2 linked regions of the Coturnix japonica genome follow. The protein of the gene in region 1 interacts with the protein of each later gene in a pairwise test. Links are inferred from orthologs where the notes say so. Each region holds a gene or a part of one and is shown on either strand. Other genes may lie near its edges.

Region 1 (3,905 bases):
AACACGGCCTCTCATTAGGGCTGAAGAGGCCAGTGCTTTGTGCCATGGAAACACACTGTTGTGCTACTGTTAACCTGCTTCACAAGCTGTTCTGTGTCTGCCTCCTGCCTGGCACAGATGTTATGGTATGTAATGATATCAACTGTCCCAACATAAGATACACACACCATTTTAAACTATTATTTTTTTTTTCACAGTACTAAATATAAGACAATCAGCACGTTGCAGAGTCACACTGGTACTCGGTTTGTGAAACTTACTATAGGAAACTTGGGCAGTCCTTGGAACTACAAGTTCTGCCCATTTCTTGTGCTTCCTATGGATCTGATCTGCATATGAAGTATTTTACCTGAAGCTTTTCCAAGTGTCCATCAGTCCTTGGGGACACAGAAAGCTTATGGCACCTTCCATTTACATAGAAAGGGTATTTAGTACATCTCGCAATGCTGGCCATTGCTGTAAGGGAGAATGAGAAAAAGAACAGTAAAATAACCTAAAATGCATTTTCATAGAATGATAGAATCACAAGGTTGGAAAGGACCTACAAGATCAATTTTGTACAACTATCAAAGAGCAGACTGACCTTTCTTACTTGGATCTAGAAATAAACCTATGATGGTGCATTTGCAGGTTCTTCATATGTAATTTGAAAAAAGTAAAAAATAAAAAGGCCAACCAACTTTATTTGGCCTTTCCAAAAACCAAAACCAGTAAATACCCACAAAAGCTTCTGAAATAAAACTAAAGCAGCTGCTGTAAATAGATGTGGTTCCGCTGGCCTCCGTAGAATTTCATGCACTTAAACCAGAATGCCTACAGTTGGGCAATCCGAATGCTTCTCTCAGTTCATTGTTATGGAACGAGAGCTACAAATCAGACATGTTTTCCTAATTTTCATGAGCAATCCAAAGCAAAAAAAGGGTTTTCTGGCAAAGTTAAGAAAGAAGCAAAGTGGGCAAGCTGCATATCGTGTTTGATCAAAAAGGAATGTGATGAAGCACTGCTTTATTCACAAATGTGTGGGTGAACCTACATCTTTTCCTGATCAATTTAACTCTCCTTGGGGAAGAATTAGCTGTATTCACTGGTTAAGTTAACTCAGAACATAAGGGAATAAAGGGACAACGTGGCTTGTATATCCAGCTAACAAAACATTACATGCAATACCTCCAGGTCTAGTGAACGTAATCACAGCTGTTCTGGACCTCTTGTCATATCTTATATTTTCTACTACTCCTCCTCCGTATTCAGATTTGTAGAAATTCAGCTCTAATTTGTCTTTCATCCATTCATCAGGAATTGGCAGCTCAGGGATTTCCGAAACATTGATCTTCTTTCCAGAAATTGTGATGTGGAGCTAAAGAAATAATTGTTGTGCATTTTGTGATCGAGAACACCCACAAAACCAAACCTAAAGCTTCTTAAGTACTGCAAGTGTGTATCTTTGTCATTTCATAGTTCAGCTGATTACCTCAAATTTGACTCCCAGTCCAACTGTAAAAGGCACCACTTTCACATCTGCTGTAGTTCCATCCAGGTTCACAGTATGCTTACCCATTTTTGTCAGTCTCTGGGCAACTAAGGAAAAATCACAAGGTTACAGGTAAGAAAAGCCTTGTTTCATCACTGTAACTTGACAACCTGTCAGTCTCTTAAGCAAAATCTCCTTTCATGTTGTTAAAGGAGAAATAACTGACAGTTAGGCAACCATATCTAACTGCCCACAACTTCAGGCATATCTGCTGCTGTTCAATCTCACTAGCTATAGGCAACAGCTAAAACACCATACTGTCTCTAGAATAAAAGATACTGTCAAAGGATGCTCTCACTGTATGAAATATCAATACTGGACTTTTGGTATTTTATTTCAAAAACCCACAGATAAAAACACATCACTACCAGCAGTGGAGAATGCCCACTAAGGCTGTTAGATTTTAGCTGAAATAATGGATCAGATGTATCTGCAGTATACATGCATAATGGAGTCACCCATTATGGTAATGAAATACATCAGCCGTTCATTTTATACTTCAAATATGCATCATACCTTCTTCATCTTCCAAAGTAAGCAGTGCTCGGTTTTGGTTCAGTTTGAATGGGATTCTTGTTGTTACAGAAAAAACGCAGTGGGTGTTCATATCCAGAATGTCACCCTCTGTGTCTTCCATGCGAGTGAACTCCACTTTCATTTCTGCCACCCTTTTTTTAATCTAGTATTTTAGAATCAAGATAGAGAACAAACTTCATGTAATTTAATTTACAACAGGAAGTTGTAAAGTAAGTATGAGAGTCATCGCTATCGTTTCTTTTTACTTACTTGCATTATTGTTCTACAGCAATGGTGAATCTGTTCATAAATTACCTTGCATATTACCATCGTAGTAAAACAGAAGTATTTTATAATGAGAGTAGGTAAGAGTACTCATGAAAACATTGGTTAGGAAAGCCTACTTTAATAGATACCAGGGAGTTTCAGATGCGTCTCTTTCCCCTTTTGAAACTGTTTCAAAATAAAAGGAAAATACTGTTTTCCTCCAAGACAAAACAGCCTGAGCAATAAAAGCATTTCTGTCACCTATCTTCAAAACCAGCATCTTAACTCAGAGCTTGTTCTCTTTCTGTTCTCACTACTGCCAAAGGACTCATTCTTTCTGCCATCCTCACACCCAAGGAATACTAAATGTGAGCACTTGAAAATTAATAGCAATACTACGTGCATTTTTTACTCCAATGTCTTCCACTTAATTTATTTTCTACTTTTCTTCACTTTTCTCACTCATCAGTATCTCACACACTCATATTTGTTTCCATATCCTTAGTCTTTTTCACATTTTCTTGCCAAATAAAGTAAGAAAATAAAGCATCAAGCTGTACTTTATACTGAAATCAGTTGAGCTTTAAATGCTAAACCAGGCTGGATGTGGCTCTGGGCAGCCTGGTCTGGTGTTTGGTGACCTTGCACATAGCAGAGGGTTGAAACCAGATGATCATTGCGGTCCTTTTCAACCCAGGTCATTCTATGACTGTAAACAGCTGACCTCAACAGTCTAGAATTGACCAAAAATGTGTCCTTCTAAAATAATAACTGTAAAATATTGCAAGCATTACCTTACCATCCTGCGAGAGCGCTGAACAACATTCTGCAAGCTCTTCTTTGAGCTTCTCAATGTCTCTCTTCAGCTCAGAATTATCGTGGTCTAGCACACAAAGCTCTGTCTACAGCCCAAAAAGTATTAAATGCAAAATTAAACATACAGGAGATAGAAGTACGTTTCAGCAAAATCTGTAGATATTAGAAAGTGTTTCAGCTTTCAAATATTACCACCAAGCATGAGGCATTTTTCCATAACTTTACCTATCTGCAAGGCAAATGCACTCACCAAGGAGCAGTTTCAATCAAAGCAAATTACAGTAAGGACTTTCAAACAGAGTGTTGGTTTTTCCAAGGATATACTGCATACAATAAGTCACCCAGCTTGCAATATGGAAGCATAACTTGCTCATCAGTGGCTCTCAGGCTAAACAAAATGACACAGAAACCAGCTCTTTTACAGCCTGTGGAAAACTCTTTTGCTGTACTGACGACTTCACAGCACTCTGAGGTAATGAACCAATTTGTTCCAGAAAGAAGAGCCATCTTCAGACCGCGTTTGGCCTTTGCCCAGCTTACTGTCACTTAAGAAATGCCAATCCCTTGGGTGCTGTAACCTCGTCTAGGAGGTGCTGGGATTTAATGAAGCAATGGAAACAACCCATTCAGTCCCATTCAATTCTATCTTCATCACACAAAGCTGAAATATATCAGTTAGAGGAGAATCTTGGAAGACTGTTTTTTATCTTCATTTTCCACATAAGATCAGTCTCAGTTTCTCATTCCTGTAAGACTTATTTAATCGCACCAGTTC
Region 2 (5,598 bases), on another chromosome or scaffold:
CTTGGCAATGAAAGCCATCATCTCCATTCATAGAAATACCTGCTTCTGTTTTGCATCCAGACGTGTAATGGTGTTAACAAACATAAAGATTACTTAATAGAATTTGACTTTGAAAAGAAGCTAGAAGTGGAACTAGAGCTGAAACTTACCATCTTTATTCAATTTTGTCCCAACTTCTGGAAGACTACAGTAAACAACATCTCCTAATGCTTCCTGAAAAGAAAAACAAATGCAAAGTTTACATTAAAGAAACTGTAAGTTGGAGTTATCTGACACAGTAACTCTAGAACCAGCATAAATGTGGTTCTAGAACCCTGTGTAAATGTAGATGTTATTTAAAGATTGTGCATTTTCTACTTTTTAAACACTTAACTTGAAATTAAAACAAAAATGTTAGGTTACCATGACCCAAATGCCAAATTAACTGTTATCCATTATGATGTTAATAACCCTCGGGCTGAGTTGTAAGGCATGTCATCTATAGATTTATTCAGGCAGAATGAGAAAGAGCATCTGCTTATCTTCTCAGCACCAGCCAGCACAGCTAACTGCACAGCCAACACTACTCCAAATCACATGCTTGTATCAGAGCAGAACAAAACTCCAAAGGGTTCCCCCCTACCTCCACTATTTTATATTGAGAAATATAGACTGTGTTACACTTCAGCATGGAATAGGTTTTTTTAGCCAAAGGAATTGCACCACATTCATGTTCAAGTGGAATCTGACTTCACCACAGCCACATACTCCCAAGGCCTACAGTACTGTGGTAATAAATGCAGTTTTGAATTCATTTGAACCATTAAGTTTCCATCACACTCAGCTCCCCACAGGCTCGATCTAAACCGATTAAGAATCTATCAGAATGCTGAAACAGCGCCCACTTCTCAAATAATGTGACGGTGCCAAGTCCAAAAACCTCATTCTGCGTGTATAGGATATGCAATTACAACCATAAAAAAACAGCAGCTATCCAAAGAGCAAGGACAGGAGCAGGTATCTGTAAGTAAATATTGCAGACTTGGGTAGGAAAAGAGAGAGTTGATCAATACCTGTGCAAAATTGCTGATTCCTACTGTTCCAATGCCATTTTCGACTGATATCCATTCATGCTTGTCTGTGAATTTGCGGGCTACAATGAAACAAACTTGATACTTCAGAAATCAGTGGCAAGTTGTTTAAACACAATACACTGGTTACAAACCCTGCTGCTTTGCTTTGCTTTCCCCTGAGGTTCGGTGCTTTGATTCCTCCCCAACCCCCCTTGGAAAATGCTACAAACAGCAAATACAATTTACAGAAGCACTTTGTTCAGCTCAGGACATGCTTAGTGACACAGCAGCAGCTCACTGCAGGGTTCTGCCCCACAGCCAGCCTTAGATCCTATGCAATCATCCAGAAACTTGTCAACCATGGGGGTAAAAGGAATAGTTCAAACGTAAAATACAAATCCAAAGCACACATCTTTACTTTGCTCACAGTAATAACCTTTTCTATGATGCCTTGAGGTCTTCCCAAGCATATTTAGTGTTTCCTTCCCAGGAATAACAAAGTTGCAGGCAGAAGGCCAGCATTAATAACATGATAGTGTCAGCATTGCAGCATCCCATTCAAAACATGAAGCAGAGTGACCAGGTGAAGCTGCAGCCTGCCTGCTCCGGGCAGCTGAATCCCTTCCCTCTCCTCACGTGTTCTCTACTGTCTATTTCTCCCATTCAATGTCATCACTGATATATGTAAAAACAGGCACAATCAATATAGGTAAAATTAATGGGGCCATTCAAACAGGCAAACGTTACTTAAGAGAATTTGATGTTAATACTCTTAGAACAACACAGTACTCATTCTGAATAGTTCTAAGATGTGCGTGTGTAAGACTGTTACATCTCTTCCACAGCAGCCCTAAAATTCCGCATATAGTGTAGGGCTGTGAGACTCAGGGCTGCTCATGTTCTTTTCCCAGCAGCAGTTATTTTTACATTCAAAAGAAGAAATTGAAGCAGTTTTCTTCCTGACATCAAAGCCTTATTTCCTTGGTTCACATATAACAGAAAGCAGAAATCCTCACTACAGGTCTGGTAAAATCCTCATGCTTAGTCAGTAATGTTCTGTTTCAGTTGCTGTGATTCATCTATATGGGCTGAACGTGTGGAAGAGGTCAAATAGTTTCTCTCTTATGGCAGCTCAAGTTTCACAGTTATATTTATTGTGGCAGCACAATATACAGAAGCAGAGCATACAAAACAGACCGAGTATAATGCAAATAAGGCATCTTTCCACACAGCATCACTCAAATAGAGCACAGAATTTCATCTAGCGCTATTAACATCTACATAAATCTCTCAGGACATGTTCTAATGAACAGAAGAAACCAAACTGCTTTAGGTCAATGCATTAACCCCCAGGTAATAGGGATTTCATAGGAAATGAGTAATGAACCATGAGAACAGAACAACGCAAGACCTCAAGCCCCCGCTGAACATTAACGTCATGCACATCACAGAGGAGCCAGCCAGTATCTTTCTATGTTGGACAATGATATTGTGCAAGATTTGTTTAAAAGGTGAGATTATGGGGAAGGAAAAGAGAAAACAAATTTCACTGCTTTGTTAGATACTGATATGTTCTTAATAGCCCCAAATGCTCGTATGCTTCTCATAGGATATATATAGTTTTATTTTTTTTACAAAGATTAAAATGAGAAATTCTAACCATGTGGTAAAGCCCACATATATAAAGTAAATAAAGTCCGGGTCAAATGAGAAGGAGTTAATGAGTAATCTCAAAATCTGAACTTTGAGCTTACATGACCTGCACGTGAAAGAGATCAAAATATAGGGATATCAGACATCAGAGCACAGCAAATCTCTGTGAGCGTCCTTTGCCACAATAGCAGCTTCATGTTCTCCAGCTTCATTCATTGCAGCATGGCTTTGGTTTCAGCTTAACGAGCACATCCTAAACTCACACCTCTAAATGGAACTAAATGGTTCATCCTGCCTCTGTTCAGTGTTTCAGAAATATAGACCTGAAGAGTGAAGGAACACTCACACCTCCACAATCAGCCATACCAAACTTTTTCCTCTCTGCCTAAAACGGAAGCACAGCTCGTGTTATTTCATCAGGTTACATCTAAAGCAGCGGGTACATTAAGCAACTCGATTAGTGATAGAAGCAAATAACGATGGATGCTGTTTCTTGCAGCAGGCATTGAACAGCGAGTTACTGGGCTGTATGGGAGCAAACTTGTCAGTGGTAGCCATCACTTATCCAGCATTTCTGTTGTGCACAGCAGCACATTGCACACACACACACCTTCACAACCTGCACATAACCCGGTCAGACCCATCGGTCCCCGGTGTCAGGGCTCCTCTTTGTGCCCCTGGAATCATACACAGCTCTCCAGCCATCTTGAGAGGCTGCAGCTCCCTACCCGGGCTTCTCAGCCCTTCCATCCTGCACGATGCAGCTCAAACACAACACAAAGCATTTCTGTGTTGTCATTCCTTCCTATTTAAACCTCAGCGCCGTGCCCGGTGCAGGGGATCCCTTGCAGCCCTCCCACCCTGCTGCACTGACACCGGGCCCATAGCGGCCCTTCCAACACTCACCGGACAGCAGCAGCGAGCCGGTGCTCAGCCTCCTCACCGCGGGGACCTGCGGGCGGACAGAGAGGCACGAACAGCGCGGTACCAAGGCCGGCCCGAGCCTCCACAACGCCAACCACGCCATCTTTACCGGGCGGCCTCGGCCGGGGGCGGCGCCGCGTTGAGCTCCCGCCTCTCGATGGAGGCGGCCATTGGAGCGCCGCCATGTCGGTGTGTGTGGTGAGGGTAGGAGCGGTTTGGATGCAGCTCCCTGTGTGCCCTGCTGAGGGAGATAACGCTGGGTGTTGATTAATAACACGTACTGATGCTCATGGGATGCTTTATTTCACGTTTCGTGCGAGTTTTTAGCTACAATTGCATCAATCAGGAAGAGTTTGCAAGGCTACGTACAGCATTCCAGTCAGAAGCACGATAGCCCAAGTCTGGCAGTTACAAAACACGATATTGAGCCAACAAACAAAGCAGCGTTTTCGTTACGGTTAGCCATTAATTGCTGACGGGTTGTTTTGGTTGATCGTTACAGCCCGTCTTCTCTTCCTGCTTGCATTTAATCCCAAAGAAACCAAAAAGTTTCATGAGCATTAAGTCCACGATTTCCTCCTCTTCCGAAGCCTGAAATAAAGACAAGGGACCAGTTAACAGATGAGCCAGGAGCAGATGTTCTTTAACACCTCCATGGTTGGTGACTCCTCCACCTCCCTGCACAGTTGTGCCACTAAATCACTGCTCCTTCTGACAAGGAATGTTTCCTAATGCCCAACGTGGATTTCACACAATGCCATCAATATCTGAACAGACCAGGTGCTCAGTGACACTGTTAAAAGGAGCTGTAAAGGCCTCATCGATTCTGTAGCCATTTTGGTACTGATTTCAATGGAGCTGGGGCTCTGGATTTAGTGTGTGAATGCCAGGCTATGGATCTGAACAGGAATGGACAGAGTAATTCTGGCAAATCTGAAACATGCTTTATGGGAATAGGTTGACTTCTTAAAAGTAATACTGAGTTTACATAGGTCTCATCAGGTGGTGGGATACCTATGTTGTGATTAAGTGCACGACTGATGTTAAAGAACAGCAGGAGAGCTGAGATAACACACCTGATAGTGCTTCTGCTCCTCGCTGAAAGCAACCAGAATCACTGAGATGAAGAGATTCAGCACCACAAACGTCATGAAAATGATGCAGGATCCAATTAAGAAGGAGCCTAAAATCGGGCTGTAGTCCAAGATCTGAAAGATCAATCAGGTAAGACATCACATTCTGATTTTAAAAGGGAGCTTACATACAAGCAGCTATCACGCCATTAGGAGTTTGTCCCTCTGAAAATCATTGTGCGTAATAAATTATGCTATATTTATATATCATACATTTATAAATAGATTTTCTCCTTTAGTTACTTTCGGGCTTTGATATAATATGGTGCAAAGAAGATGAAATATTTCATATAATGTGAAATATTAATATGGGCAATCTCTGTGTTTTGTTCTTGTTTTAAGTGTTTGCATTTGAATGTATTGGTATGGAAGTTTGAGGTGAAAACTGGCAAACCAGCTCAGTTGTGTCCCAGCTATCAAAGCAGACATAACATGTCTGTGGGCTTCTATTTAGGAGTGTCTTTACACAGACTGTCAGGGCACATATCAGGTAAGGGTTGTGTAGGAATTAAAGAGCAGAGGAGTACGTTTTGGGGATTAACTACTTGAATGGATGTAGAGCTGAAAAATATTATGCCAAAACTCAAAATCAAGAGGGAATACCTCCTCGTAGTTGAAGATTCCCAGCTGAAGACTGACCATGGTCTCTGCTGAATCAGAGAGAGTTTTGTAAGAGCAGAGCTTCCAGCCAAATATCAAGTTTGTCTGCAAAGGAAAGAAGACGTATCTTGCATCGTAGTCAGAGTCCTTGCTGCAAATCAACTGCCTTCACATATATGGAGGAATTAGTACCCAGTCTTTTAGCCTAATGTTTAGATGGGCAGCTTTATTCAGTT

The links.
Region 2: the proteins of NMI (region 1) and GCSH interact in binary tests that used the Homo sapiens proteins (3 or more experiments, as listed by UniProt). The two-hybrid records come from large-scale screens. The link is inferred for Coturnix japonica from reciprocal best matches to the Homo sapiens genes NMI and GCSH.

What each region holds. Positions count from the first base shown.
Region 1 is NC_029522.1:30,826,260-30,830,164, reverse strand, and holds part of NMI (N-myc-interactor), read right to left. Parts: intron 3,217-3,905; coding exon 3,109-3,216; intron 2,211-3,108; coding exon 2,048-2,210; intron 1,579-2,047; coding exon 1,472-1,578; intron 1,358-1,471; coding exon 1,168-1,357; intron 457-1,167; coding exon 350-456; intron 1-349. UniProt on the Homo sapiens protein: Acts as a signaling pathway regulator involved in innate immune system response.
Region 2 is NC_029526.1:13,644,773-13,650,370, forward strand, and holds the start of GCSH (glycine cleavage system H protein, mitochondrial), read right to left. Parts: upstream 3,774-5,598; 5' UTR 3,733-3,773; coding exon 3,612-3,732; intron 1,133-3,611; coding exon 1,053-1,132; intron 214-1,052; coding exon 150-213; intron 1-149. Other genes in the region: PKD1L2 (polycystic kidney disease protein 1-like 2), read right to left, coding at 4,095-4,220, 4,706-4,837, 5,366-5,467. UniProt on the Homo sapiens protein: The glycine cleavage system catalyzes the degradation of glycine. The H protein (GCSH) shuttles the methylamine group of glycine from the P protein (GLDC) to the T protein (GCST).